Linked DNA regions of Arabidopsis thaliana. The protein of the gene in region 2 interacts with the protein of the main gene of each other region in a pairwise test. Each region holds a gene or a part of one and is shown on either strand. Other genes may lie near its edges.

What was found.
Region 1: the proteins of IAA14 (region 2) and RAT5 interact in a two-hybrid assay, tested with the Arabidopsis thaliana proteins (one large-scale study listed by BioGRID).
Region 3: the proteins of IAA14 (region 2) and ARF4 interact in a two-hybrid assay, tested with the Arabidopsis thaliana proteins (one large-scale study listed by BioGRID).

Annotation. Positions count from the first base shown.
Region 1 is NC_003076.8:22,191,714-22,201,010, reverse strand, and holds RAT5 (Histone superfamily protein), read right to left. Parts: upstream 4,725-9,297; 5' UTR 4,472-4,724; coding exon 4,283-4,471; intron 3,936-4,282; coding exon 3,732-3,935; 3' UTR 3,519-3,731; downstream 1-3,518. Other genes in the region: Fh5 (formin homology5), read left to right, coding at 226-844, 932-1,547, 1,638-1,837, 1,939-2,174, 2,298-3,155; AT5G54630 (zinc finger protein-like protein), read left to right, coding at 6,751-7,516, 7,752-8,404. UniProt on the Arabidopsis thaliana protein: Core component of nucleosome. Nucleosomes wrap and compact DNA into chromatin, limiting DNA accessibility to the cellular machineries which require DNA as a template.
Region 2 is NC_003075.7:8,344,621-8,354,320, forward strand, and holds IAA14 (indole-3-acetic acid inducible 14), read right to left. Parts: upstream 5,644-9,700; 5' UTR 5,304-5,643; coding exon 5,083-5,303; intron 4,892-5,082; coding exon 4,662-4,891; coding exon of another isoform or gene 4,561-4,661; intron 4,525-4,560; coding exon 4,389-4,524; coding exon of another isoform or gene 4,385-4,388; intron 4,077-4,384; coding exon 3,959-4,076; downstream 1-3,958. Other genes in the region: NF-YB3 (nuclear factor Y, subunit B3), read left to right, coding at 43-528. UniProt on the Arabidopsis thaliana protein: Aux/IAA proteins are short-lived transcriptional factors that function as repressors of early auxin response genes at low auxin concentrations.
Region 3 is NC_003076.8:24,303,576-24,316,076, forward strand, and holds ARF4 (auxin response factor 4), read right to left. Parts: upstream 9,210-12,501; 5' UTR 8,613-9,209; coding exon 8,238-8,612; intron 8,096-8,237; coding exon 8,039-8,095; intron 7,777-8,038; coding exon 7,591-7,776; intron 7,493-7,590; coding exon 7,408-7,492; intron 7,325-7,407; coding exon 7,234-7,324; intron 7,111-7,233; coding exon 6,949-7,110; intron 6,852-6,948; coding exon 6,732-6,851; intron 6,650-6,731; coding exon 6,574-6,649; intron 6,475-6,573; coding exon 6,309-6,474; intron 6,208-6,308; coding exon 5,519-6,207; intron 5,425-5,518; coding exon 5,234-5,424; intron 5,152-5,233; coding exon 4,983-5,151; 3' UTR 4,680-4,982; downstream 1-4,679. Other genes in the region: AGL62 (AGAMOUS-like 62), read left to right, coding at 2,754-3,077, 3,370-3,945. UniProt on the Arabidopsis thaliana protein: Auxin response factors (ARFs) are transcriptional factors that bind specifically to the DNA sequence 5'-TGTCTC-3' found in the auxin-responsive promoter elements (AuxREs). Could act as transcriptional activator or repressor.

The DNA.
Region 1 (9,297 bases), on a different chromosome or scaffold from region 2:
AAGCTTAGGTCTTTAGAGACTAAGATCACATTTTTTGTTTTTGATTCATGTTCTCTATAAGAAAGCTAAGATCATCTCAGAACGATTCTTGCAAAATAGTTTGGATTCGCCATTTGTAATCATACTTGGAATTATAGTTGGCTCTCTCTTATTTACTGATATGCTTTTCAAAATGTTTTATAGCTCTTATAGTTGTTTCTCTCTTGTTTGTACAATGTTTGACAGGAAGAAACATCATGGGCGCAGCGTTGTTGGCAAGATTCAGATTGTGTGAAGGAAGCTGTGGCAGAATTCAATTTATGTTTTCCAGGATCAAAGGATAGTAGGGAACTATTTGGTTTGAACCATACCAATCTGAAGCAGACTCTTCTTGATTGTATCCAAGAAAAAGGAAAGTTAAATGGTCATAACCCCAAGTATCTGGAGCTCTTATCATCTATGCTTGATATTCCGAGGAGAAATCTAGCTACTAAACCCGGCTCTTCCCCTTCCCCTTCACCTTCCCGCCCTCCTAAGCGTAGTCGGGGGCCTCCGCGCCCACCTACTCGACCAAAATCCCCACCTCCTCGGAAATCATCTTTTCCACCATCAAGATCTCCCCCTCCTCCTCCTGCTAAGAAAAACGCTTCTAAAAATTCAACTTCTGCACCTGTTTCACCTGCGAAAAAAAAAGAGGATCATGAGAAAACAATCATCATTGCTGTTGTTGTGACTGCAGTTTCTACGTTTTTGTTGGCTGCATTATTCTTCTTATGCTGCTCCAGGGTTTGTGGAAATGGTTCAGGAGGCAGGAAAAACGATGAAAGGCCTCTTCTCAGTTTAAGCAGTAGTGATTACTCTGTTGGTAATAATATCTCCACTTTCTCACTGTACTAATCTAACAAGAAATTTCTTGAACTATAGAGACTAAAATGTTTTTTAATGTTTTCAGGTTCCTCCATCAACTATGGTGGTTCGGTCAAAGGAGATAAGCAGGGTCATCAATCTTTTAATATTTACTCAAACCAAGGAAAAATGTCATCTTTCGATGGAAGTAACTCTGACACTTCAGATTCGTTAGAAGAACGGCTATCACACGAAGGCCTGAGAAATAATAGTATTACCAATCACGGGCTTCCACCTTTGAAGCCTCCACCTGGAAGAACAGCTTCTGTACTTTCAGGGAAGTCTTTTTCTGGAAAAGTGGAGCCTCTTCCACCGGAACCACCCAAATTTCTTAAGGTATCCTCGAAAAAGGCTTCTGCTCCTCCACCGCCAGTTCCAGCACCGCAAATGCCATCTTCTGCTGGTCCTCCACGACCGCCCCCTCCAGCTCCGCCACCTGGTTCTGGTGGGCCTAAGCCACCACCTCCTCCTGGACCAAAAGGACCACGTCCGCCTCCACCAATGAGTCTGGGCCCAAAAGCACCCCGACCGCCTTCTGGGCCAGCAGATGCATTAGATGATGATGCTCCCAAAACAAAGCTGAAGCCATTTTTCTGGGATAAAGTGCAAGCAAACCCAGAACATTCAATGGTTTGGAATGATATAAGATCAGGATCCTTTCAGTGAGTAAAGTTGTTAGCTTTTTGCCTCGGTATACTATAACCATATAACTTTGGCATAGTTACTGAATACAACTTGTGATGGTTTTCCAGGTTCAATGAAGAGATGATAGAGTCGTTATTTGGATATGCAGCAGCAGACAAGAATAAAAACGACAAGAAGGGGTCCTCTGGACAAGCTGCTTTACCTCAGTTTGTTCAGATCCTCGAACCAAAGAAAGGACAAAATCTATCAATTCTTTTGCGTGCTTTGAATGCGACAACTGAAGAAGTGTGTGATGCACTTCGCGAAGGTAACCTTCTTTTCTTTCTTTTTCCTTAGGTGGAAAATAAGATTTTGATTTTCTGGCAACATTCTCCTATGTGTTCGCTAACATAATTTTCGTTGAATTAGGAAATGAGCTTCCTGTAGAATTCATTCAGACTCTGTTAAAGATGGCACCAACACCAGAAGAAGAACTAAAACTTAGATTATACTGCGGTGAAATAGCTCAACTGGGATCCGCTGAACGATTCCTGAAAGCAGTCGTTGATATCCCTTTTGCTTTCAAGCGTCTAGAAGCACTTCTATTTATGTGTACACTCCATGAAGAAATGGCTTTTGTTAAAGAATCATTTCAGAAATTGGAGGTACGTTTCCTAATCTTTTACAAAAACTTTGTTCTGAAAAGAAAAACATATTACAGTTTCTTAGTCTTTCTCAAGACTCTTTCTTCTCCAATCTAAACGTATATTCTTTGGTGTATATGAAAGGTTGCTTGTAAAGAACTTAGGGGAAGTCGGCTGTTCCTGAAGCTCTTAGAGGCAGTTCTTAAGACCGGAAACCGAATGAATGATGGTACATTTAGGGGTGGTGCTCAAGCTTTCAAGCTGGACACTCTTTTGAAATTAGCAGACGTCAAGGGAACAGATGGGAAAACAACGCTCCTCCACTTTGTTGTTCAAGAGATAATTAGGACTGAAGGTGTAAGAGCGGCTCGTACTATCAGAGAGAGCCAAAGTTTCTCAAGTGTTAAAACAGAGGATCTCCTAGTCGAGGAAACCTCTGAAGAGTCAGAAGAGAATTACCGTAATCTTGGACTTGAGAAAGTTTCAGGCTTGAGCAGTGAGCTTGAACATGTAAAGAAATCTGCAAACATAGATGCCGATGGTTTAACAGGGACTGTTCTTAAAATGGGTCATGCTTTGTCGAAAGCTCGAGACTTTGTCAACTCAGAGATGAAAAGTTCAGGCGAGGAGAGTGGGTTTCGTGAAGCGCTTGAAGATTTTATTCAAAATGCTGAAGGAAGCATCATGTCCATACTCGAGGAAGAGAAGAGAATAATGGCTTTGGTGAAAAGTACAGGGGACTATTTCCATGGCAAAGCAGGAAAAGACGAAGGGTTGCGTTTGTTTGTGATTGTGCGCGATTTTCTGATAATCTTAGATAAATCCTGCAAAGAAGTCAGAGAAGCACGAGGAAGACCCGTAAGGATGGCCAGAAAACAAGGCTCAACAGCCTCAGCATCTTCTGAAACTCCAAGACAAACGCCTTCATTAGATCCTAGGCAGAAGCTGTTTCCAGCTATTACAGAGAGACGCGTGGATCAGTCTAGTTCAGATTCAGACTAAAAAGTACAAATCTTTGGTTTCGTTACCTGTTAGGACATAATTCATCTGCTGTTTTGCTGAGAGCTTATCTTTTCCTGCTGTGAGTGTAATGGCATTAACCCTCAAGACATGTCAGGTTTTAGTCACTGATTATGAGTTTTTCAGATGTAATTTAAAGAGGCATAGACACTGTCACTCACTTGTACCAATTTTTTTCACATTTAGTCTTAGAAATACTTTCTTTTCATATTTTTTCAATCTTGTTGGCCATAGAATAATAATCCTTTGTGTTTTTTTCTTTCTTGTACTATTACTATCAACAACAAAGAAAATCTTTATACTTCTACAAAGTGCAGTGTTTGCTTGTTGAATAAGGCATCAGCATTTTTGAAAGACATTATCATTCATATTTCGCAAAATACTTTCATATATTCACAAAAACAGAAACAACATGTCGAAACAGAAACGGAAAGAAACAAATCCCTAAAGGAATTAAAAAAAGCAAAGATACAAAAAGTGAAAACATCTAGCTAGTTATTAGGTTATTAGATCTAAAGCCAAAAGAGAGACGTGTTCTATATCATTGTGTTAAAAGACCTAATCTTCCTGAGGCTTTGAAGCACCAGCCTTCTTAGGGAGAAGGAGATTGTGGATGTTAGGCATCACTCCTCCATTAGCAATCGTCACATCTCCAAGAAGCTTGCTTAGCTCCTCATCGTTTCTGACCGCAAGCTGAATGTGACGAGGAACAATACGTGTCTTCTTGTTGTCTCTTGCTGCGTTTCCAGCTAATTCAAGAACCTGAACAAATTCAAAACACACAATTCATGATCAAACTTTCCAAATTTGAGAACTTTAACAACTCAAATCAAATTGGTTACCATAATTGAAAAAAATTTAGAATCTTGCGAGAAAACTACAACGATTCATATGATCTCGATTACCATCAACCAATCAGAACAAACCCAAAATTAGGTCAATTACAGAACTACAACAATTCAATTCAAACACGAATCTAATTCAATTTTTGCATGTCAAATTCGGAAAATGTAAGAACCCTAGATTCGTAATCGATCACGCAAAAACAGAGTCAGACGAATAAGATCGGAAACGGAATGGGAAAGAGAGAAAAGACGATGTAATTTTACCTCGGCGGCCAAATATTCGAGAACGGCGGCGAGATAAACCGGAGCACCGGCACCAACACGTTCGGCGTATTTACCGGCTTTTAAGAAACGAGCGATACGACCCACCGGGAATTGAAGACCGGCTTTGCTACTCCGAGATGTAGCTTTCTTCGCCCCACCGGATCCAAGAGTTTTTCCACGACCAGCCATTTTCAACAACAACAACCCACAAAGAGCGCAAAAAAATCGAATTTTTTTCTTGACGAAATTAACAGAGAGAAATCTGATTGTTGTTTATATATGTTGGAGGATTAAGTTATTTGACCAATAAGAATAGAGTACGCGGATCGAAGAGGTTTAAACCGTTGATTATAATTTAATGAATGGCTACGATCTGAAGTTTTTTCTCCCACCGCTTGAACTTTTGCAGTTTTTGTTGGTTTCTTCTGGACGAGGGAATTTCCAAATTTTCCATATAAACCTCAATTTATTTTATGCCCTTGAAAATAATATTATGGGCTTGGAACGCTGAACAAATCGAATTGAGTTTACGAAGTAAATGGGCCGCTTATGGGTTTAGAACTCGCCCACCAAACCCCAGCGAAGAAAATGATTTAACATAGTCACTTTTACTAATTCTATTGTGTTGTTCATATTTTTATTGAACAACCATTGTGGAATTTTATCACTATATAAATTTGATGAATTACTAATCATATAAATAACGTTGGATTACTAAAAATGTCACTATATAAAAATGTTAAAGTGAGAAAAAGAACATGCATGAAAGAGAAGAAGTTTTAAGAGTAAATTGTGTTCACCAAATCTATTTCAATATTTATGGATCCAAGTCATACGGAAATTAAGATATATCATAGCTAGATTGGGGCAGACCAGTCAATGTGGTGTGGTCGAAATGATGGTCCTGTTGGTTTTAGGTTTTAGGGCAAAACTGGGTAACCCAGAAGAAGGACATGATCTATCAACATGTTTCAAAATTCAATTTCTAATTTAATGTCTTTCCTTTTGAATTCAATATGGCTATAACGACACCCACACCTACTTCCATTATCTACCCTTTGCGATATCTACAATTCGTAATAAATGCACTTTCAAAGTTTGACAAACTCACAATTCAGATTAGAGTTATTGTGTTTTGATCATTAACGAACTGTTATTGTCATCCATTCCTTCATGTTTTGAAGTCGATATGATGTAAATACTACAGTGTTACTTTATTAGGAACAGAGATAATGCAAAAATATTGATGTACTATCGTTGCGGTTTTACTTTCGTTTATACAAATAAATCTTATATTTCACCGTCCGCTCGTATAAACATATTATGTCAACTATTGTTATTTATCAAACTAGAGTGATAAAGTTACATGCATGGTGTAATAATAAGAAGTTTAGTATAAATTTTAATGGCTTGTTAAAATGTATATTGATTACTGTCTTTCCAAGAAATGTCAGAATGTTTCATATGCTCTTATGGGGCATTTAAGAGTGAATTGACAGATGCAAGCAGAAAGAAATGAAATCAATGTTCTTTTATTCAATTTTATTTCCTATAGCCATGCTATTAATTCATTAGTAATTCTCATTTAGTTGTCACTGACCAACAATTTGTCATCATTATTGCTTGGATTAACGTATTTATGAATAGTGAGTGAATACATATGTAGTTTTAGCCTGACTAGGTTTCAGACATCATAGAAGAATAATCAACTCTTTCACCATATAATCTCAAAGGTAAATTTAGAAATAAAATATTTGTTTCTTCTTGCGAGTAAAAGTACTTATTAGACCGGTGAACCTGCTCACGCACAGTCTCATTGATTTATGATCGTATTAACTGTAATTAAATTCTGTAAGAGAAAGTTAAAGGAAATTCCAAAAGTTTAGAAGTATGACATGAATTCAAGATTCTCTACACGGTAACTATAGGAAAAAAAGATCTTTTAAAAACCAAAATCATTGAATTAATCACGATTTATGGCTAATGTTAATTTTGTTAATGAATGCAAGTTCATGAAATTTAGCTTGTTTTTTCTTTTCTTATTACCGTGCATTAAATCAAGTTTACCACTAAAAAGATTCCAATATTCAGTTAATGTGATAATTCGTAAATATGGACTAGTCTATAAATTACTATTTCATGATTTATGAACATGTTGTGAAGTCTTTTCAGTTTTTACACTTTTAAGAATGGCAAAACAGTAAGTGAAAGAAACATTCTCTCGTGTTATTACTTATTACATCGGTGAGTTGAGACATCGTAGACCTCCTTCAGATTCATTTGCTCGTACATGCCTTCTAGAAAGAAAAGAAACTTGGTTTTTTAATATATCTCATAAGACAAAATCCACTTATTATTACCTATCATCCGGCGACAATATTTAATTTATATTTATTATAGCATCACTTCCAAAAATATTCAGAAGAAGAAGATAGAGAGAAAGAAAGAGAGAGATATCGACAACAACAATGGAAGATTCAAGCAAAAAAAGCCAAAAGAAGAAGAAGAACAAAAGCAAGAACAACATCCCAACTGTTTGGTTCTCACTCAAGAAATCCCTCCACTGTAAATCCGAACCATCTGATGTCCACGACCCAATATCCACCACTAAACAGCAACAACACCTCTCCACAATCTCCACCAAGAAAATCTCCGGCATATCATCCGGCGGAGCCGCCGTATGCGGTGGTGGTTTATCAGGATGTTCAAGATCAATAGCAAATCTCAAAGACGTAATCCATGGAAGCAAAAGACATTTCGAGAAACCACCAATAAGTAGTCCTCGTTCTATTGGAAGCAATGAGTTTCTAAATCCTATAACTCATGAAGTTATTCTTAGTAACTCAACTTGTGAGCTTAAGATCACTGGTGTCGGAGACATGGCTTCACCTGTCGGAGCAGCGGATTCCGGCGGAGGTGGCGGTGGAGGAAATGGTCGGTCTACGACTTATGTAGGGATGCTTAGACCAGGAACACCGATGCATTATCTTAACCATTCAGCTTCTTACAGGAGCCAAACAAGAAAGGGTTCGTTTGCTTTGTCGGAGAGAGATCGAGGAGGAGGAGGAGGAGGAGAAGGGTTAGGGTTTCATACAAACAGAAGGGTTTCATTGGAGATGAACAGAGAATCCACCATTAATGGAGGCAACAATTCCTCTGTTTCTTGTCATAAATGTGGTGAACAGTTCAATAAGCTTGAAGCTGCTGAAGCTCATCATCTCTCTAAACATGCCGGTAAGTAAATTTAACAAATTATGCAATTTAGGCTTCATAGTAACAAAAGTTAGGTTATAAAAATCGCAACTTTTATAAAGAAAAAAACAGAGTCTTGAAAAAAACAGAGTTTTGCAATTAACAATTCAAAGCTAAAATGTTAAACTTTAACAACATTTACTCTAAATTTCCGATTTTGATTATGCAGTTTGATTCAAAGTTTCTCAAATTTATATAACTTTCATCTAAATTGCAGTAACGGAGCTTGTAGAAGGAGATTCATCAAGAAAAATAGTGGAGATAATCTGCAGAACAAGCTGGTTAAAGTCAGAGAACCAATGTGGAAGAATCGATAGAGTTTTAAAAGTACACAACATGCAGAAGACATTAGCTAGATTCGAGGAATACAGAGAAACAGTTAAAATCAGAGCAAGCAAACTTCAGAAGAAGCATCCAAGATGTCTCGCAGACGGTAACGAGCTACTTAGGTTCCACGGAACCACCGTGGCTTGTGGTTTAGGTATAAACGGGTCAACAAGTGTTTGCACGGCGGAGAAATGTTGTGTCTGTCGGATTATACGAAACGGGTTCTCGTCGAAACGGGAGAAGAATAATGGGGTTGGTGTTTTCACGGCGTCTACTAGTGGAAGAGCGTTCGAGTCGATTTTGGTTAACGGTGGAGATGAGAGTGGAGATGTTGATCGGACGGTGAGGAAAGTGTTGATTGTGTGTAGGGTTATCGCCGGAAGAGTTCATCGGCCGGTGGAGAATGTGGAGGAGATGAATGGGTTGATGAGTGGGTTTGATTCTTTGGCTGGCAAAGTTGGTTTGTATACAAATGTGGAGGAGCTTTATTTGCTTAATCCTAAAGCTTTGCTTCCTTGCTTTGTGGTCATTTGCAAGCCCTAAAACATTTAGCATGTTGGGGAAAAAGATTGAATTTTCTTTTGTTGATAAATTTATGTATCGTATAATGAGAATTGAAATCAATAGATAATTGATATCTAGATTTTACTTATTTCAATTTTTTTTGCCATTTTTTTTTGAAATGGTAATGGTGGAATGAATCGATTTATTTGTAGAGTTGTCATTTTGTTTAAGCCATTCCACAATATCGATGATAAAAAAAGGAACAAAAATGTAAATAAAATTTCTTCCACATTTTCATGATCAACTTAAATTTTCTTCACTAAAAAGTGTGTCTTTTAGCTTATTTTTTACAAGTCTACGGTTTGATAAGGTTTACCAATTCTTTTTTGTCAAGTTTAGTTCTGATTAACCATTATACTTAGAATTTTAACAGCAAGAAAACTCTCTTACGTAGAGAGACAAACAAAAAAATAAAAATTGTTCATATTATGTTGTAGATTAAATTTGTATGTTAGTGTATTAAATTGATGTGAAATCAATGGTTAAAGATAGATGTCGAAGTTTCTCAGAGTGAGAATTTAGTTTCACGGGTGGCCCTGTTGGTAAAAGTGCTACTAAATGCCAAATTTCATCCAGTAATAAAACGTTATTGAGAAAGAAAGGGAACAAGAAATTCTTTTCTCCTTCATTTTTTTTTTTCAACGACGAAACATCAAAGAAGTACAATGATACGATTACAAATTCGGATATAGAACAATACAAATGAATGACTAATGAATGCCTCGTTGGGGACTTGTTATATTTTATACTACAGTTTGCATTTTTTTTCTTCATTTTATAGAATACTAATGAAACTAAACATTTTTAAAAAAATCAGCTATGACATGAAAAATTTATGGAATGTTGTTTCAAAAAATTTAATAATTAATTGT
Region 2 (9,700 bases):
ATCTATCTCTCTTTCTCGACCTTTTGTCTCCTCGATCTAAAGATGGCGGATTCGGACAACGATTCAGGAGGACACAAAGACGGTGGAAATGCTTCGACACGTGAGCAAGATAGGTTTCTACCGATCGCTAACGTTAGCAGGATCATGAAGAAAGCACTTCCTGCGAACGCAAAAATCTCTAAGGATGCTAAAGAAACGGTTCAAGAGTGTGTATCGGAATTCATAAGTTTCATCACCGGTGAGGCTTCTGACAAGTGTCAGAGAGAGAAGAGGAAGACAATCAACGGTGACGATCTTCTTTGGGCGATGACTACGCTAGGGTTTGAGGACTACGTGGAGCCTCTCAAGGTTTATCTGCAAAAGTATAGGGAGGTGGAAGGAGAGAAGACTACTACGGCAGGGAGACAAGGCGATAAGGAAGGTGGAGGAGGAGGCGGTGGAGCTGGAAGTGGAAGTGGAGGAGCTCCGATGTACGGTGGTGGCATGGTGACTACGATGGGACATCAATTTTCCCATCATTTTTCTTAATTGTAAAATGATAAAAGCAAATTTTCATTTTTATTAATTAATGATATATATATATATATGTTTAACTTTTAGTATAATGTTTACAGAATTTTTTTTTTAAAACTAGGTTCAACCCACTAACGTAACAAAATAAATATTAAATTTATGATTCGTAAGGTTAGGGTGTTACTTTTTTCAAAAAAAAAGAATAAAAGAAGGTTAGGGTGTTTATTCGTGAAAGATGAAAGTAACAAAAGTAAACTAGGATATCGAAGTTTATGGTTGAATTAGGAGGAAAAATCAAATGAGAGAGACATACATTTTTTTTAGAGTAAAATGTTTCCTAAAAAATTGTAGTGGGAATATAATTATAGCATCAAGCTAAAAAGAGTCATTGAAAAACTTTTTCTACTTTGATGCAGGGAACATGAGATGTAATCAAGGGCATATCTAAAACGTAACCTTTGATCTTTGATCTTTGATCTTTTTTTTTTTTTTTTTTTTTTTTGAAATTCAGGAGGTTCTGGGCCGAAGCCCGTAATTCCTCCAGGCCCGAAACCACAGCATGTAATATTAGTTTTTCTTTTAAAGTGTTGTGATGCGAAAATTTCATATTTGAGTCCAGGTTTTTAAGAGCTTGGGTTTTCCATTAGTCCATGTTATGCCACAAATATTCAAAGATTTTTTCTTACAAGCAATACTCAAATATCAAAACTAAGTTTCTATCAAAAAACTAAACAAAACATCAGCCAGGTAAAATCAGGAAAAAATAAAGAATTATCAACAAATACCATGACTACAATAACCAAACTGCTTTCCATTATTGTTTTTGTCAAGCAAATTGTATTCAACATTGAATTTCAAAACAGAGAAGATCATACGGTGTAGAATTAAAAACAAGATTGAAACGATACATTATAAATAACGACAAAGGCTTGAAAATTTATCAGATAGGAAGTTCCGACGAACCTAAATGAAAGTCTCCATGACAGACTCCATATTGAAGACTAATTTCAAAAGATTAAAGAGAAACTCATGATAATAATAGCTCGTACAGCTAGTGCTTCTTCCATCGAAGTAGAGCTTTCAAGAAATCACTCCAAAAAGGAGTTGTATAGGAAGGATCTCTCCAAAACATTCCAAAGCAATACAATAGGAGAAGCTTTTACCCTTTTTGGGTCGTGAAGGACCATGCTTTGTGCTCTGTTCTCACAACATTGAGAACTTTGTAGTAGAGCGAAGCTGGAAAAGAGTTGTGGCGTTGTGGATGCATGTGGTACTCTTATGCCAAACCTCGTAAACACACGCATGACATGCTTGAAGCAGTGCAATGGAGATGTCATTGCTTGTAGAAGTTGTTGATGACAGGCGGATGGTGCTGGAATCATTCAATAGGTAGGGTTGTAGGCAACAACTTTACCATAATTTTGTTTCAGATTTGAGCTGAAAATGAATAATTTAAGTGCAAGTGGTGAATTCCTAGATTCTCCCTCAATGCCACATTAAAGCAAGTTTGTTCAACATGACATCTCAAAAAAAATCCTATCAATAGTAGGGTTGAGGTTAAAAATAAAGAGTTATAAACTGCGAAAGCATGTTTAGGAATTCTCACCTTATGCCATACCAAAACCAACTAAAGAACTAATGGTTTAGATATTCTGATGTTATGCCAAGCATTTAGGGAGGAGAATAATTCGGAATCATTTCATCAATTATCCAAACTATCATTCATTGTAGGAGTAACTAGAATTCTTCAGTTCATTAATGGGAAATTAATAATAATTTTTAATTTATTGTGTCAAATAACTAACTTTCTGTAAAATATTAAAAAAGAAGGAAAAATGAGAGATTTTCCAAACACTTCAAAAATCACTTTTGATTTAATAAAAAATTTTCTGTCTCTTAAAATAAAAGCTCTATGTTCTCTATAAAAAAGCTTTCTCCGCCGCTGCCTAAGATTACTTGTTTCAGTGGCTTTTTTCAGCATCGGAAGCGAGGTTTCTTTACTTTCTTTCTTTAGTTTTGATTTCTTTTTGTTTTGGTATGATCTGAATCATATTTTCTTCCAATGGTTTAAGATCTAAATTCTCATATCTAGATCAATAAAGTCTAAATCCTTTCATCTACGGGATTTGCTGCTTGTTTTTTACTCCTTCATCTACAGCTTTAGTTCTGGTCGTTCCAACCATGCCAGAGGTAGATCTATTCGATTCTTCAACGCCTTAGATGCATACTTCTCACCATTGAAGATCTCGATCTCCTTCCTTTCTTTATGAGATTTTTTTCCTTTGGGTCTTCGGGTGTTGGTTTGTCTCACCGCCGTTTACGGTAAGAAGAATATTGATTTTATTTTCTTTGAATGGATCTCTAATCTCAGATCTATATTTTGTTTTAATTTGGATTTAGAATTTGTATTAGATTTTTGAGTTCTTAAGTGATAAGTTTGGGAAGTTTTGGATCAGTTTTAATATGTTTTTTTTATTCTGGAATTTTTCCTTTTTGTATATGTATTTGTCTCTAGAAAATCCGTTTTCTCGCCGGCTTAACTTCTGAACTGGTTATTTTTCTTACCCGGCATATGTATTTTACCCCTTATGATATTTTTTATAAATGAAATCTTAATTTTTACTGAAAAAAAAGAAACAGAGAGATTTTCCAAAAAGGAAAGAAAATTTTTATGCTTCTAGTGGTGAAGGGCACATTAGCATGAAGAGGATGGACTGAATTTGAAAGACCCATGAATATGCACATGCTCTTGTTCCCTACGCCTCTCATGGGTCCTGAATTTAATAACGTATTCCCACGTAACTAGGAAAGAAAAAAGAAACTTAAAACCATGAATATTTGTTTTGTAGTTTTAAAATTGGTTTTGTAATGAAGATTTTAGTTCGTTTCAAAATCTTTTTGGAAACCATTTTAGTCAAAAAATATACCAACAGTTTTCTTAGTTTTCTTAAGAAATTGTTATGTGAAATGTTTTTAGATACATCAAAAATAGTTACAAATTTCAAATATAATCTGTAAAGCCAATAAATGAGAAAATAAAGAGGAAAAGAATAATAAAGTAGGAAAAGTGGAGATAAATTATTTAACGTAAATTTACCTATCATAAATTATATATAGTATTAGCATTTTAAATTTTAAATAGCAAAAATACGAACTCTATAGATTTACTATCACAATTACATATTAAAAAATGATTTCTACTAATTAAGAGATGAAAACAAAAACACAGACTAATTTCAAAAAAAAAAAAAAAGACATATTTAAAGTTATTTTTTTCGTAAACAATTATATTTTCCTATATACTTCCAATATTTTAAATTAAAAACACATGATCATAACAATACCAAAAAAAAAAAATCAATGCATATTGTCCTCTTTTTTTTTTGTTCATGATCTGTTCTTGAACTTCTCCATTGCTCTTGGAGCTGAAAAAAAAACACGAGCATTATTGGAAAAACAGAAAAGAGCCACTTATAGAAACGAACAGAAAAGAAAACTTACCAAGTCCAATTGCTTCGGATCCTTTCATTATGCGCAAACGTTTGCATGACTCGACAAACATCCTGAAATCGGGATTTGGGTTGGTGACTAAATTTAGAAATCTATTGAAAGTGAAAGAATATGTGCCAGCTACAAATGAGGTAACATATTGATGAGTTAGTATTTATATATAAACATCTTCTCTGTCTCTGAGTTCTGTCCCATGCCAACCAAAAGATGGCTGTGCGTGTTTATAACACATGGATATTGATTATCATTTTGTGTATTTTTTTGATAAGTAATATCAATAATAATGCTTTAGAGAATATTGTTTTTTTTGTTTAGAGAATAATTTTGGTCATAATAATGAAAGCAAGAAGAATGAGGAAACTCACGGCCAGGGGACATCACCAACGAGCATCCAGTCACCATCTTTGTCCTCGTAGCTTGGAACATACTCAGAACTGTTCAACAGATCCATCACTTTACTCTCGTTCATGAAATCTATCATCCCTTGTGCTCCATAACTCCCTTAATTAATCAAAATCCCAAAACTTATCATATTAATTAGTCGTATATGGAAAAAACTGTATCGTTAAAAAGAAAAAATTGTAAGTAAACACAAAAATAATAATGATAATTCGACTTATATGTCTGAAAATGCATACCCATGGTAAAGGAGCTGAACATTTTGGCCAAGGCATCAGAGAGATCCTTGTAGCTGGTGTACATCTTGAGGTCAACCTTCCGAAGATAAGGAGCTCCATCCATGGAAACCTTCACAAAGGCGACGGTTCCTCCACCACTACTCATTGCCTCCTCTGCTTCGCCGCTCTTCTGATTAGCCATAACATTTTTCCGGTAGTTCCTCACCGGTGGCCAACCCACCACTTGTGCTCTGCATAGAATATAACAACACACACACACATTCAATAACGTTATTACTTATGCATCCTTACATCTTTCATATATATGTATTTTAAGAACTTTTATATCAACTATTAGTCTTTTTATCTCAAAAAAAAAAAAAAAAAGTCTTCCCTTTTAAGGAAGGTCTTCTTCTTAAGGAATTGTGTAAATAGAACTTACTTAGCAGGAGGCTTAGAAGGGTCTTTAAGGAAGGTCTTCTCCTTGGGAGCTCCATTAGTGTTGAGATCCACATGTCCTTGTTTGTTAGATTGAAGATTAAGTTTGAGATCAACGGTCTCGGAGAAGCCTCTCTTGTTCCCAACACCCGACTTGGCCGGACTTTCAACGGTTTCAGTGCCTCCGGGGAGGCCAAGACAAAGCTCCGTCTCCTTAAGGTTCATATCTCTTCTTGCTGTCTATATATGTCTTAAATCAGAATATGTTTTCTCTCTCTCTCGATAACTCTTGTTGGGGGTGAAGTTTGATAAGAGGGGAACAAGAATGAGGTAAGGAGATAGAGTCGATAATATAAGGGACGAAGAAAGAGACTATAGTACTATACTATAGTGGTAGAAAAAAAACGGTTTAAACCCGTGATTAGTCGTCTGACTTTTCTAATTCTTTAACTATTAAAATACAAAGGTCTATTGTGTATCTGCTGTAGTGCATGGAATCCCTACATTTTCTTGCAATGTGGGTTCTCAACACGTGGCCTTCTGCTAAACGTTGGTAGGTTGTTTTAGTAAATCTCACTCTTTCATGTCAATAACCTGAAAAGTATAGGTGATGAGTGATGACCGTTGATTGTTGAATGATATTGTTACATCTCTTAGGTTTTGAAAATACGAACATACGTTTGCCCAAAATATGTTAAGTAAATAAAAATGAAAATATATTAAGATTCCGAGTAAATAAAAATGATATTATAAAAACATGAGTACCTCTTTCAACATGTCTAAGTAATGTCTTTATTGATCACTTCTATGATTAATGTACTTTTTTAATTGCCTACCAATTTGTTAGACGTTGCCTCCATTGGTCAACTCTTCACGTATCACATCACATGTATACAGAAATTGGGCGGTAAAAATTCCGTGAATCGTATTTGGTCAACATTATTATATGATTTAATCATATAATTATATTTCTTAAAACTTTCGAAGTCAGCATCGGTGAAAATAGTTATGACCAACTAAGTTTGATCCTAATTAAGACGTACAACAAATAATCAATGATAACAATCTTAGTATATATTTTACTTCAATTTGGACCATCTTCTCTCAACATTGTCCTGAAATTCCGGGAAATGATGGGGCAATTTTAGGAAAATGGGCTTGTTCAGTTGTCCATTAAATCATTATTAAAGAGCATAATCAAATTAAAATAAGCTTGTCTTCCGAACCTTCCAATCATGTGGTTCAAGTATAACCACACATGAACGTATAATTTGTTCGACGGAAAGTGCGGCTTTGTGACTATATTTATTAGCATGCTCAATTACATTTTCTTTGTTTAGACGTATTATAATCAAATTTCTTATCATTGATTTTAGTTAATCATTGGATATCAAAAATAATAAGAATATAATGAGCCGTTCAAAACTTAAATAAGCTAAAAGTGCACATGGATTTTACTTGCGATCTCTATATAAACTATACCACCCATTGTTTTGTGGTTATGGGATAATATCCTTTGGAAATCTTTGGAAATAAAATGACTATTATTTTAGATACAATAAAATATTCCAATGATACATAATCCTTTTAATTAATAACACCATAATGAATACTTTACTTAAAAAGTTAAAATATCCAGCAAAAGTTGATATTCAAATCTGATGAAAATATTAAAAGTTACAATCTAACTGAGTATTAGTAAATCAAGATCATGTAAATTTAATATTATCGACATATACAGTCATTTATATTTATTTTTATTAGTATTCAAATAATTATTATAAAACTATTTGGTTGATAATATATCGTTAAATTTGATCATATTACAAATAAACATTTCTTTTATGTCAATAACATTACTTACTGAGTGTTAATAGCTCAATTGTTAAAGACTATAAGACAAAACCTAGAAATCACCAGTTGTAATGACATTTGGAAAGAAACCATATAAAATGCTCTAGTTTGAGAGGACGTATGTTCCTAGGCCTAAACTTTTTAGTAATAAAAATAAAATAAAAAGCAACATCACTTATGCGGAAGCCTATCATATATAAACAACATTAATTAGCACAAACCATTAGTAAAACAGATGCACTACATTCATGATGGACTATTTTAGCATTAGCTTCCGAGTTCCGAGAGCCCAACGAATAATTCTACTTGCACTACATTGGAGATTTCTGGTAAACTTGTTTCTACTTATCTACGTAATTTGCCGTTTCTACTTTCTAGGAGCATAGAAAAATTAAATAAATGTTTTGCCCAAGAAGTAGTCTAATTATTTTCAGATTGGTGGTGCACTGTCGAACAAAGACACATTGCTTGTTCCTTTTTTTGGTTTTCTTGATAGCAAGAACAATCTAATAACCCAAACAATACTAATTTTTGAAATCCTTGAAAGATCGGATTTTATTAACATTTAATGCATAGAATATGACTGAAAAACACGAACAGTAGATATTTATTGATGGGTAACTCGATCTCCGACCTATATCCACAAGAAAACACATCTTCCCTAGTCAAAGTACTATTCAATTGAATCCGGTGAAGATAGTGAGACAAGTCACATCCAATTGGGGAAGCAATAAACATACCAAACCCTCAAAGGCTATGTTTTTGCCTTGTCAACATCCCTCACTCCCCCAATAACCCATTGTTTCTATGACTCCCACCATTCAAATTCTCATTCATTTTTATCTTTTTAATTATTGTTCTCTTTTAGATTTTCAATAACGTTTCTAAACCAATATAATACATATTCATAAAATGAAAATACCTTTTCCTATCTCGCAGCATCTTTCATACTCATCATCTTATTCGTTGTCCATCTTCCCAACCACAAATTCTTCTCTGCATAAACACCTTTCATTAGATGCAACAACATATGCACTTGTCCCTCGAATTAATTTTCTCATCAAATCCTTTTGTTTTCTTCTTAACTGGTTAATTAATGCGTACGATCAATTATCTTCATGCACATATGATTAGGGTTTTGAATCTTATCTATTTCAAGTTCTACAACATGAAGCGTAAATATGGTGAACTTCTATAGTTTGTGGATACTATTGATTTTTGGTAGATGTAAAGAGTGGATATTGTTTGACTACGTGGATCTATTTTTCATTATGCATTATAGATGGTAGGCTCCCGCAGTTCCGCTTGACTTTTAGCCATAAACTCATTTACTCGTTCTAGTGGTAGTGGAGAGGCATATCGTATTTAATTGATATCGTATTATACAAATTTAAAAATGTTTACCTTATTGTTTTACCTACGGATGTCTACGTAAATGTAATCCCTACAATTTTTTTATGTGACCCACCTATGTTTTTAGTTCCAAAAAAGGTAAAGGTGTGGAATTTGGACAGTCGAAGTATAGTATATCCAAAAGTTTTGTCAACGATACTATCCAAAACTCGAATTATTTGTTTCTTTTTTCATATCATCTTTTTTTTATGGCAAATAATTCGAGTTTTGGATCTAAATGTGAGAAAAGTTTTGTGATAATTCAATCATAATTTTTACACGAGAAAAGTTTTCAAGGCACATTGTTTTATACTTATCTAAATTATGTGACCCAACGATACTACTAGACAAGACGAGACAGGTCCAAACAAAGTAGTGACTGATTGGTAGAAGGAGATTTATGAGATGGTCCGGGTTATAATGTTAAGCCATTTTCAAGAAGTTATACGTGTTGGTTCTTATGATATGTAAATCTATTGTGGTCTCTCCTGTGACCACAACAGATTGCATTTGACCACGTGATTTTCTATTTAGCAATCAATTCACGATTGGTATACACAACCCTTATATATATTCCAAACAAAATAATTAATTCTTACATCTATCAAAACTATATTTAAAACGAAAGTCAGACTAATTTCAACATTATAACCATCATGGTTAATCTAAACGAAAGTTAAGAGTAATTTCAACATTACAACCATCATATGGTTCATACTTTTTTTTTTTTTTGAACAACATATGGTTCATACTTTAAATGACCATATTGTTGACGAAGTGAAGTTGATTCTAGGTCTGGACTAACAAACAAACTGATATGTTCATAGATGGAGAACGTATACGACCCAAATTTATTTATTACTTGTAATAACATATTAATAGTGTAAGATATGTGAACACCTTGATAGTCTAGTGCTTGAGTGAATTTGATTTGAAACTTTTTATGTAATTTTTCTGGCACGTGGTATCTTTTTCTTTTAACATCTTTGGATCAACATTGTCCGATATATGGTCTATTTTTACTACGCGAGGTAACGAGATTTAGTAGAATCGAATTCTGATAGAAACGGTGGAATCAGATGGACTTAACTACTTGATTAAAGACACATCCCTCACACGTGACAAACCAAAAAAAATGTTGGACATTTGGATAGTCATGCCAATGGAATGTACTGTACTTGTTCATAGTTGTAAATAACACCAAAAATCAACTGAACTAAGGAAAGAGACTTTAAACATCTTCCCAAGAAACGAAAACTCGAACACATATTCACAAAATGTTCTGTTACCAAAATTACTTCTCATCTGAGAAAAAATAATCTAACATAAAGAATAATTAATTATGAACATACAAGAATATGACAACTGAATAAATA
Region 3 (12,501 bases), on a different chromosome or scaffold from region 2:
ATTGTATGATTTTCTTCTATATGATTTATTAATTATTTTAATTGGAATTGCATCTCGGCAATGACACAACGATGATTCTAGCAAATACCGCTAGGTTATTAGTCATGGTCTAAAGACTTCAATATTTTATATTATTTTTTTACATTTTATTTGATTAAACTAAAACCATTTGTATTTTTATTTTACATACTAATAAATATGTTACCAAAGAGTATAAAAGGTCTTTCAATTATGTGTATATATTAGTGAATTTTTCTAATCCTTTGGCAGTTTTCTATAAATAATATTTCTTAAAGTACGCAAATATGTTTATATAGCAAACAGTTCTCAAAAATATCACACTTAAGTTTGATCTTTCAAAAATACTACTTAAGTTTTTGGTTTTCCAAAAATATCACAAAACTAAATTAAATTTTCAACTTTCAAATCCTAACCTTAAACACTAAAATCCTACCCTTAAAAACTACACCCTAAATCTAAAATAGGTAACCCAAACCTAAAATTTTAAATTTTGAACTCTTGGACATCAATTTGTTGTTTTGTGGTATTTTTGAAAAACAAATTTTTTTTGGTAGTATCTTTGAAATATTAAACTAATAGTGACATTTTTGGCAACAAAACTTAAAAAATGTGGTATTTTGAAGAATTTATCTTATATAACAAATATACAAATTAATAATTACTGCAAAAGTAGTTTGTCTCGTCTAAATTTTATGGATTATATTTGTAGAAAATTATTGTTTCCTTTTTTAAATTATTTGGTATATTAACTATTTAAAAGTTTCATAAATAAGAATTTTAAGATATTTAGTTCAATCACATATTTCTAAAGATCTCATATATATTTATTATTTTATGATATCAGTATAACTATATTTACCATAATATTTATAACTCTAAAATCAATTTCAGAAAATATACCAATTAACTATCAAAAATAATAAGTTAACAAAAATCATTGTACCTCAGATAAAACTTTAATACTGTAATCAATACTGAAAGTTTTTAAGATTAATCAATTCTATCTAGTTCAGTATTATGATAAGATTCTTTTAAAGATCACTATTTTATGCATACTTTAATAAACATGCCCGTATTATATTATCATCGGTAAAATAATTTTAATTGGAGATATTATCTGAAACAACTACCATTTCACTATTTTTGGATGACATTTACATTCTACATAGATAAGTTGAATATTTCATATTAATTACTATATAATTGATATTTTGTGTAATTTAAGAGAATCTGGCTTCAAATTATCAAAAAATAATAAAGTCATTCAAATAATTTTTATCAATCCATCAAATGAGATAGGGGAGCTATAAATATTATTGGAAATAAGATATCACCATTTTATCATAAATATATGTTATTATCAGTAACAAATTTATCGCCAATAACAATAGAGGAATGTATTCCATTATTATTTTAAAAACAGAGTTAGTAAGTAATGTAACGGCATATATCTATTGTCAATTTATCAGAAATAATAATGAATTTGGAATGGTCTTCATATTCTATATAACGGTCCAAACAAAATAATTCTATCTTAAAGCTCTCAAAATTATAGTGTTATCTCATGGTATCCGTTTTTGACGATTTTCATTTTTTCTGTATTTATCACATAAATAACTAAGTTTTCTATATTCATAAAGGAACATTATTTAGTGCAAAATTCATAAACTCATTTCATCCGATAAACAATATATCGAATGTTTTTCCTTGAATCTAATCTTTTATAATATACTCTCTTAAAATAAATATATAAATAAACTATTTTTAGATGATAATTACATCATATAAAGGTTAGTGTGTATATATATATAAAGAGAGAAGGATATATGTGTATGGAACACAAAGAAATAGTTCATAGTCATGCCGGGCTTAATCATATATATATCTCAAACCTATCACAATTGTGGCCGAGTTGCTAGAATCACATAACAATTTTATCATAAATATTTTTCATTAGTGATAACAAATCAATCGCTAATAACGTAAGAAAAATATGTTCTATCTAAAAAGTAGCAAAGAATATGATTGCATAAATAATGTAACGGAGTATATTTGTTACAACAATTGCTAAAAAAATCATACAATCATTTTATCATAAATAGTTTTCATTATCGATAATAGATCAATCACCAATAACGAGAGAATACATAAGAAGACCCTTTAACAAAAAAAAACGAGAGAATACATGTTTTACTTTAGAAAATAGCGACAAATAATTTCAGATAACAATATAACGATTTTTTAATATATTAAAATATGAGATTAAGTTTAGAATATTAAACAATTAACGAAAATGATGTATCAGTAAATCAAAAACATATTGACCATATTACGCTTGTTACTTGTTAGTAATTTTTTTTACGCCGCCATTTTTGTTGCTATATTTAAAAAAAATATTCCAATAATATTACTATTAGATATGAAAAGATCACTACTAATTAAAGGTGGATCTTTCTGGCAGATTTGGATACATTGTACAAATGAAATGAGAAGATAATAGTCAAATAAATTTGTATTGCATACCATATATTGATTGAATATTAAGATTATGAAATGTTACAAAAATAGTAAAATTCAAATTCAAATAAAAATATAATAAATCAAAGTTGAAATTTACTCATAGACAACTCAAATATTAATTATTTGGTTTGTAATATTCTGCTATAAATACATGAGCATTTTCATTCTACAAACACCAATCCTATATTTTAGCTTCTCAAATATCACTAAAAATGGTGAAAAAAAGCAAAGGTCGTCAAAAAATAGAGATGGTCAAAATGAAAAATGAAAGTAACCTTCAAGTTACTTTTTCAAAAAGAAGATCTGGACTTTTCAAAAAGGCTAGTGAGCTTTGCACACTTTGTGGTGCAGAAGTGGCCATAGTTGTGTTCTCACCTGGTCGAAAAGTCTTTTCTTTTGGTCATCCAAATGTTGATTCTGTAATTGATCGATTCATAAACAATAACCCTCTACCTCCTCACCAACACAACAACATGCAACTTAGAGAAACTCGTCGAAATTCGATTGTTCAGGATCTGAATAATCATCTTACTCAGGTAATCTTACTCTTATTTTTAAGTATGATTAAAACAAAATAGTGTTTTCTATGAATCATAAAACCCAAATTTCTATGGTTAAATTCTTTTTTTATTTAATATATATAAGTAAAAGTTTTCGCAGGTGAATAAATAATATATAAAAAACATTAGACAGTCTTTTTCTCCATAACTAGAATAGATTTATATCCTAATAGTATGTTAGATAAAAATGCCGATGAAATGTTATAGAATCATATGGTATGAAAATTAATAATATTATTGGTGTTTTTATTTGTATATATATTTGCAGGTGTTGAGTCAATTAGAAACAGAGAAAAAGAAGTACGACGAGTTAAAGAAAATAAGAGAAAAGACAAAAGCCCTTGGGAATTGGTGGGAAGATCCCGTTGAGGAACTTGCGTTATCTCAACTCGAGGGGTTCAAAGGTAATCTTGAAAATTTGAAGAAAGTAGTTACAGTCGAAGCTTCCAGATTTTTTCAGGCAAATGTTCCAAACTTCTATGTGGGAAGTTCTAGTAATAATGCTGCTTTTGGGATTGATGATGGTAGTCATATCAACCCTGATATGGATCTCTTTAGCCAAAGAAGAATGATGGACATAAATGCCTTCAACTACAACCAGAACCAAATTCACCCTAATCATGCATTACCACCCTTTGGAAACAATGCTTATGGTATTAATGAAGGGTTTGTTCCAGAATACAATGTGAACTTCAGACCAGAGTATAACCCAAACCAAAACCAAATCCAAAACCAAAATCAAGTTCAAATCCAAATCCAAAACCAGAGTTTTAAGAGAGAAAACATCTCTGAATATGAACATCATCATGGTTATCCTCCCCAGTCTAGATCTGATTACTATTAACCCTTTGTTGTGTGATCCAACTTAAGTCTCTAGACAAAAAGTTGTGTGTTTAGGTTATCTTTATTTCTTCTTATTTATGTTTCTACATGTGTTGTTGTTGTTTTTCTTGTTCTTGTTTAAGTATTATGTTGTATTGTGTTGTTTCATTTCAAAATTATGTTATTGCTATATATAAATTATATGTGTCGGAAACAAATGCATTACGCCTCTGAAAATACTAGTCTGCCATGGTTACGTTTACGCATTTTGGGCAATTGCAGAATTTTAAACACAGAAAGGTAATAATCATAATCAATCATGTACTATTTTAAAATAAATTTGCAAAAAAGCATAATGAAAATTTCTGTGTGCACCATTTTTCAACTAAAATAGTACATACATTATCCCACATATTTTGGTACATTGTAAAAAATGAAATGACAGCATTACAATGGCTTTCCCTCTAATTTCATTCCTTATAATGATGAAATACAGATATTGTGAAATATTCCTAAAATGATAAAAATCTAATTCTAATATAGAAAATATAATAAAATTAATGTTAAATTTAAGGAAAATATAATAAAATTAAGGTTAACTTTTAGTTGAAAAAAAGGCTAAATCTATGTCACATCATTCTATTTAATTAATCCGTGCAGTATACTCTAATATTTATTTTCCTTAAAAAAGATTAAATCATCATCAAATATCTAGTATGTATTAGATATCAATCTAAAAATAAATAAAAAAATTGTAAGAACAATACAAGAGTATCCACATATGTAAGAACTTAAGAAATGAAATTTTCAAAATCAAGCAAAATACTTCAAAACTAATATATATATTGTAATTTTGAAAACCTTAAAATCCAATGGCATGCTTTACACATCCCATAAACTCACATATCTCTCGAGTAAAACGGTACACATGAGACATCCATGGAGACCAGAAGAAACACAAACAAACACATAAATGGATTCAAAGACAAAGATAAAGTTGAAGTTCTTTTGTGAGCAAAACACACTTTAAAACATAGGAAATAAGCTTCTTTATGGGTATCAAACCCTAGTGATTGTAGGAGAAGAATCAGGCTGGCTCACAGAAGATGACTTTGATGCTTCCATCATGAGAGCAGCTTGCTCTAAACAACTCTTGTTATCGTCATTCGCATTCTCCACTTCCTCTTTCGTGTATAAGTGTATCTTCCACACCACATTGCAGAAATCACTATCCATAGCAGAAAGCCAATTTCAAGTTAGGAGAAAAGAAGTTGTGATTGACCTTTAGAAGGTATGTATAAAGAACTTACTGCCATGGATCATCGCCAACGACCATCATATCGTTCTCACTATCAGTATATAAGATCCTCCATCCTTTTTCAGGATCCCTGAGAAGCCCTTCCATGTTGAACAGCCGTTCAAGCTCCATAAGGAGATCATCATACCCGTTAAGTCGCGACAAATCAATAGCTCTCCCCACTTGGCTTCCTTGCTTGTGAACCTTTTGATAACAATTCAACACAAGAACTGATTAGAAGAGACATCTAAAACTGCAACTCAAAGTAGCCAAAGAGATGATAAAGAAAACGTTTTACCTTTGTACAGATTCTTTTGCTCGAGCTTTGCGGCTTAGATGCAGGTGTCTCCACTGGTAAGGAGAATCCGAAAAGTTTACATCCTGATGAAGCATTCATATTCAACTCACTGCCTTTCTGTTTTCCCATCATATCAATCTTGAATGGCAAATCAGCTGTAACATTATTTGGTAGGCCACCTTCATTTTGTGCATCAAACTTTCTAGTCTCTTCACCAAAGTTTATTGCACGTGAAGGGGGACCCGAGGATTGGTTTCCCGCATTGTATGGATTCTGATACGGAACATGAGTGCTCCTAATCCCATGCAAAGCTAGCGGATAGTAACTTGACTTGTTGGCTTGGTAAGCAAAGGGATTAGGAGCAGCAGCTGGACTGAAACCAGCAAATTGCGGGAATGATTTAAGCGAGCAAATTTCTTGACCTTGCAAGACCCTTGGAAACCTATCCAGGTCCATAACACCTGAACAAGCTGGGTTCACGCCAGTAGCATCTACAAACTCACCAAATCGATCCTTGACTCTACTCGACACAAGAACTGGATTTGCATGAGACTGCATCGCAAAATCCAGTATCCGGCGGTTCATAACATCAAACCCCTGTGAGGGTGATGCAGAACCTATATTTTCTTGACCTTGCAAGACCTTAGAGGGTCTAACCGACTCCTCAAAGTCCAAAAAACCACCCCTTTCTGCTGCAACCAAGAACAGTTATCAATAATATACTGATGAAAATTGAGAACTGTTTGCAAAAGCATATACTCCAAAGAGAAGAGAGGTCTATATAATTTACTTGTTATGGGGTTTCCGGGTGGGGTAGTATCCAGTAAACCTGCCCATGGCCTTTTAGGCCTTGGAGATGACTGAATGCTCAAGTGTGGGAGAGAAACCGAGGGATCAATCTCCCAAGGTGAAACTCTTTCTTGATGATCACTCACAAAAGACTCATCCCATCGCACCTGCCAAACAAATGTGAAAGATTTAGATATCAATCTTCGAAAATGAAAAGTCTTCTACACGTTAATAGACAGATACTCCAAAAAGATGAGAGGACGCACCAACAAGCACCTCCATTTAGAGTTTGGCCACCTATACGGGTCCAAGTCACAGACTCCAGTCACTACACCAGCGCATCTGCAAGAAAGATCGAATATAAATTCTCGTCCAACAATATTAGCTACACAACACAGAGAAAGAAGCAAGAAAGAAACAATACCTTCTCTCAGGAGAATCGTCCATTTCAAATCGCATTCTAAATCTTGTGCCTATGCAAACAGGACTCCTGATGCTTGTGATATACTTCTCATAAGGAATCACAAACTCTGCATGCGTCGCTCTGTATATAAATCCACAAATCAACATTATAGTTCTTTATTTCTTACTGAACCTAGTTAAGAATCATTACGAATGGCAGCTTTTCATTTTTATCTCACCGTGGACTGTAGAACACATGAAACATGCTTTTTGTAGATACAGCATTAGCCACAAGAGACAGAATGTTTGAACATGAATTCTTCTCAATGATTGAGTCAGGAAGTCCATTTCTTGGCCGTGCTGCTCTTCTGATTCCTAATCTCAGCTCTCCTCCTTCGTCTCTATAAACGCCGATATTAGTAATGAATGTAAACATTATTGGATCAAGGGCTTCAAACCACCAAAGCAGAGGGAAACACCATGAATCTACATCACCATTTGATAAACTGAAATCTTACGATTACCTCAGAAAGAGAACCGCATCACCAGAGACGAGATTCTTTTGACTGACAAAGATACTCCAACCAGTGGTGAGTAGATGCCTCCTTGGTTGACCTATATTAAAAAGAGACAGAACTAAACATTTTGGTTTCACTGACGAAGAAAAAAGAAACGAATAATAACAAACTCAAAACCACCTCTATAGATATGGCGAAACTTCCACTCTACTCCATGGAGGTCCTTTGCAATGAGCTCTTGAGATGGCCTCTGTTGTTTGTAGTCCTAACACCAGTGGAAAATTCACAAATAAGGCTTATAACAAGAAGATAAAACCTCTCCTTAAAAAAAAAAATAAGGAAATGAGATATAGAGAATTATACAAGAGGAGCAAAACAATCTTCAGCGGCTCTTCTAGGTACAGAGAAGCCTCCATGTGTGCTTGTGTCAGACGCTGTTAAGGTTTTACAGAACATATGAGGTGTCCGCTTGACGGATGAGCTTCCGTTCCTCTCTTCCTCCCCTCCTAACTCCTTGACCTCTTTCCCCTCCCCATTTAGCATCGAAAACTATAAAAACCAAGAAGTTACTTCAGCATCTTAACATCACAGAGATTATAAATGAAACTCAACAAGACCAACGGTTTCAGTGATTCCTCTGATCCTGTTAAACCAATGATGAGTTTGAGTCACTTAGAGAACAAACAAGATTATTCACAATCTCTTTAAACCGTAGCATCTAAAATCACACCTAGAATCTGGAATTACACTAGTGATATCAAAAATCAATTGAATTGTCAAAAAAGCAACAAGTTTGAGTAAAAGAGAGTACCTCTTGAAGTGGAAGCAGAGTGACTTGAGTGTAGACCTCATCGGTGTCCTTATTAGCCTTTTGTTTCCCCAAAAGAAGGAACCAAGTTTGCAAACAATTACCACAATTAGAGAAAGAAAACAGAACTTGTTCAAGAATAGTAAAATAGAACACAAAAGGAATGTTCTTTATTTGGGTAGAGTGATACAGACAGACTTACAAGCAACTGGACATTAACCACCCTGCAGACGATTTGGGGATTAAGGTCAAATTTGGGGATTTCAAGAGGAGACGAATATGAAACCATAGCATCTTGCTCCAAATGACCTTGAGGGAAATAGACAACTACATTGCCTTTCTTGGGAAGACAAGTGAGAGGACCAGCACAAGCATGCCAAAGCTCAGAGTAAATGGAAGATGCAGAGCCTGTAGAAGATGATGACGATGATGATCCGGAAGAGCATGAAGAAGAAGAAGATGGTGAAATTCCAAGCCTACCCTTGTCAATTCTTGTTCCTCCTCCTACTCCTACTCCTACATCATCATTCTCCTCCTCTTCCACCTCCGCAATCTCAGTATTCAAGTCAAATTCCATTGAAAAAGCTTCTCTTTTAAGAGCAAAAGGAGACAAGAAGAAAACAAAAAGTTTCTATTTTTAATCAGATTACAACAAAACAAGTAAAACCCATCAAAGGAAAGTTTGCAAAATTCGAGCTTTGAAGTGACAGAATTCGGAATTCCTCTCCTTTTTCAGCTAAATTTCACAAAGAAGAGGCAAACTTAGCTATTGACGGGAAAGATGAGTCATAAGTGTGGAATAACGAATCAGAGACAGAGAGAGAAGAAGAGAGAGGAAGGAGGAATCAAATGAGAACAAGGGTTTCAGAGAAGGATTCTTCTTCCTCCATTTGCAGGTACTGAGAAGAGGGAGCACAAGGAACAGACATAGACTAAAATTTGCAGATTGGAAAAAAATATACTTTTTAAAGAGCAAAAAAAAAACAATTTAGTGGAAAGAGAGAGAGAGAGAGAAAGAGAGGGAGAGATAAGCGGGGGAGACAAAGCCAAGACAGAACAGAACCCACACCTACACTCTCCCTTTCTCCTTCTTCTTCTTCTTCCTCTTCTTCTCTCTTTTTTGTTTTTGTTTCCCAATAAAGACTTATTTATTCACATGAAATTTTATATATAAAAACTATATTTGTGTCAATATACACACGTTTACACAAAATAAAAGTTTTCACTTTTTTGCTAATTATTACCGTTTTTGATTTTCGTCCTTTTTGTTGAAAGAAGAAATGTTAAAAGTTTAATTAGGTGCTAATAAGACTAATTCAATCCATTGTCTAGATTGTTTTCTTCAAAATCAACTGTTTTTTAAATACGTCAAACCATCGATGAATCAATCGTTTAATTATTCATACTAGACTATTCACTCAAAATGAACCATCAAAGTTTATATGCATCTATTGGATTTATGGTATTACGAAATTGACGTAACCCTTTGTTTTTCTCATTCACACCATAATTTTCTTTAACTTGTGTGAGTTGTGAGGAATAAAAACCGCAAATTGATTAGCTTTTTCTTTGCATACTCTTACAAAGGAAACAGTATCTCTTTGGAATCTTTCTTTGTTCTTTCTTTTTTTATGTTATGAATTTTTATTTGTTTTCGATTTATTAGAAAAAATGCTTTTTCATTGCGTTGTTAAGAGCCAACCAACCGGCTAAAGACAGAAGAGTAGGCTCCTTTCGATTTTGTAACAAAAGCACTTTTTCTCTCTTTTTCTGAGACAAACAATATGAAAATCAGCATTTTGTTATTGATTAACTAAAGTACTGTCTGTGTTTAAAAACCTAATCAACTAAAAAAAACTTTCAGCGGTCTGTAATATAAAATTTATACTTCAATAACCACACCGACTCTTTCAGTAAAATAAAACTACTCAAATACTTACTACTTATTGGATAAATATCTTCAAATGGGTTTAGTAAAAATAAATAAAATATATTTGATGGTCCAAATGATTGCTTCATAATTTGAAAACATTTATATATACATTTTTGCAGTCATTTTAGCAAATAAATCTTAGAGTTGAACTTATTTACAACCCAATGCCATTAGCATTAAATCTTTTTTTCAAAATAATTAATTTTACTTTAAATTTTTAATTTAAATTGTCAATCACATTATCAATCAAATTTAATCCAAACAAACTTCACATCAATCCCTTAAAATTAGCATAAACGTATTTTATTAACAAAATTTTTTGTTTAAATAAATATTGTTCTTACTAAATATTTTTTGTTTAAATAAACAAATCATGTATTTGAACTTATTTACAATGTCATGCTACTGACATTAATTATTTAGGCATGAAAATATTTATTTAAAGATTTAAATCTTTTAAATTTTGCTTTTAGAGTTATTATATCATTTACCTAAAAGGCAAAAAATATTAATTTTTTAAATATTATTATTTGTATATTTAAACTTCATAAAACATTATTAATATTTGAATTTATAAAAAGTTTAATCTATCAAAAATAATTAACATCATTATATAATATATAAAGTTTAAAAAAATCTCAAAAAAAATTTCGTCATATTTTGTAATTCGAAATTTTAAGAATGAACATATATTAACCAATTGGCGAAAAATGTGTGGGTACAACGTCCCGCAACGACTAAAATATTTTGACAATGATTCATAAACATATTATAAATAAGATCAACATTAATAAAATAAATAGTTTTTTTTTGTGGACGGGTTTGGCAGGACGGGTTTGGCAGGACGTTACTTAGTAACAATGGTAAACTATAAAATAATTTACAAATTTTTATATATATTAATTTTTAAAAATGAACTGTGTCCGCGGTGTACCGCGGGTTAAAATCTAGTAACATGTATTTTTGCTCATATAATATTAGTTTGCTACTAATTCATATAACCTGATCAAAGTATCATATTATGTTTTGTATATTCCTTTCACAATTTCGCAACTTACTTAATTATCTACTTTTAAAAACATTTGATTATGAGTAATAACCTTTCGTAACTTCATTGGAGAAGAAAAAAAAGAATAAGAAAAGAAGAAAACAAAAAGGATGATGGGATGGGAGAAGGAGAAAGAATGAGTCTCTTCTTCAGAAGTTGTGAGTTAGTGACTGAGTCCCAACAACTAACAAAGACCCCCTTGATATTTGCTGCCTCTTTGGCCCCCACCTTCTTTATTGTTTTTCTTACATTTTTCATGCAACATACTCCTTCTAAAACTAGCTTAATATTCTCACTTTTTTTCTTTAGTACTTCTGATTAGAAATATATATCTTGTTTATTCTGATGTTGCACCATAATTCGAAACGTGTAATCTCTTATTCTTAATGATATGATTACCATATTCTTCTGTCTGCTGATCATAACTTTTAGTCAAAGATTATCTTTTTTTAATTAGTACTAAAAAGAAAGAGTGGATCGTATCTCATTTTCATGTTTCTTAATTTCCTAACTAAAATAATATTTTACTAAGAAAGTCGATTTTGTACAATTTTAGAAAAGACATCTAATTTGATTATATTGTGAGAAGTCCCACGGTTGAATTTTATGATGTGAGTTAGTTTTGGACCAAAAACTCAATATATATAATTATATACACGTAAATTTGTCAAAATACAACACATAAAGCAATATAGCTCTGAAAATAATAGAATTATAGAAATAAAGATTCCACTTAAATTTGTTTGTGACTTTCTCCTGCTGAAAGTAATTAAGCATCCATTTGAAGAAATGAGCCACTTGGATGCTTTGACTCTCCACTCAAAGTAAGCTTGTGTTTATAAAAAAAAACCTAAGCATATATTCATCCTCTATTTGTATTTATCTCGTCTTTTACATGCCTCCATTTTTTTTTCTTATCCTCCTTTTTTTTTTTTGGTAAAACTCTTATCCTCCCTTTCTTACGGTACAAGCCATCACGCTCGGTTCTGATTTTCTTCTTCTCTCTGTTTCAGTTTCGTTTCATGCGGCATACATGTAAATTACTAAATTGTAGAGATCATAACGTTCAATTTATCGAGTTTTATTTCTGAAAATATTATATTTTCTTTTTTGTACCGAGGTTTCAAAATATTCATGTTTTTTTATGTGTGGAAAGAATAGCACATATCCATAGCCATATTTGTTGCCTGATTTCTTTTGACCAAGTTGATTGAATTAGCCTATGGATATTTGTTGTTCTTTTCAAATATATGGCAATTTTTCTTTGTACTATATTTTTAATATGTATTTTTTGAGTTTACGAGATTCCTGCATGTACATACTATATAAATTTGGCGTAATTTGTAATAAGAATCAATATATAATGAAATCATACTGTTTTTTATAATATTGATATTTAAGTAGAGATGGTTTTATTAAAAATAGAAGAAAAAAGTTTATTGTTTGGCAGAGCAAAAAAAAAAAAGGAAAAAGACAGAGGTGGAT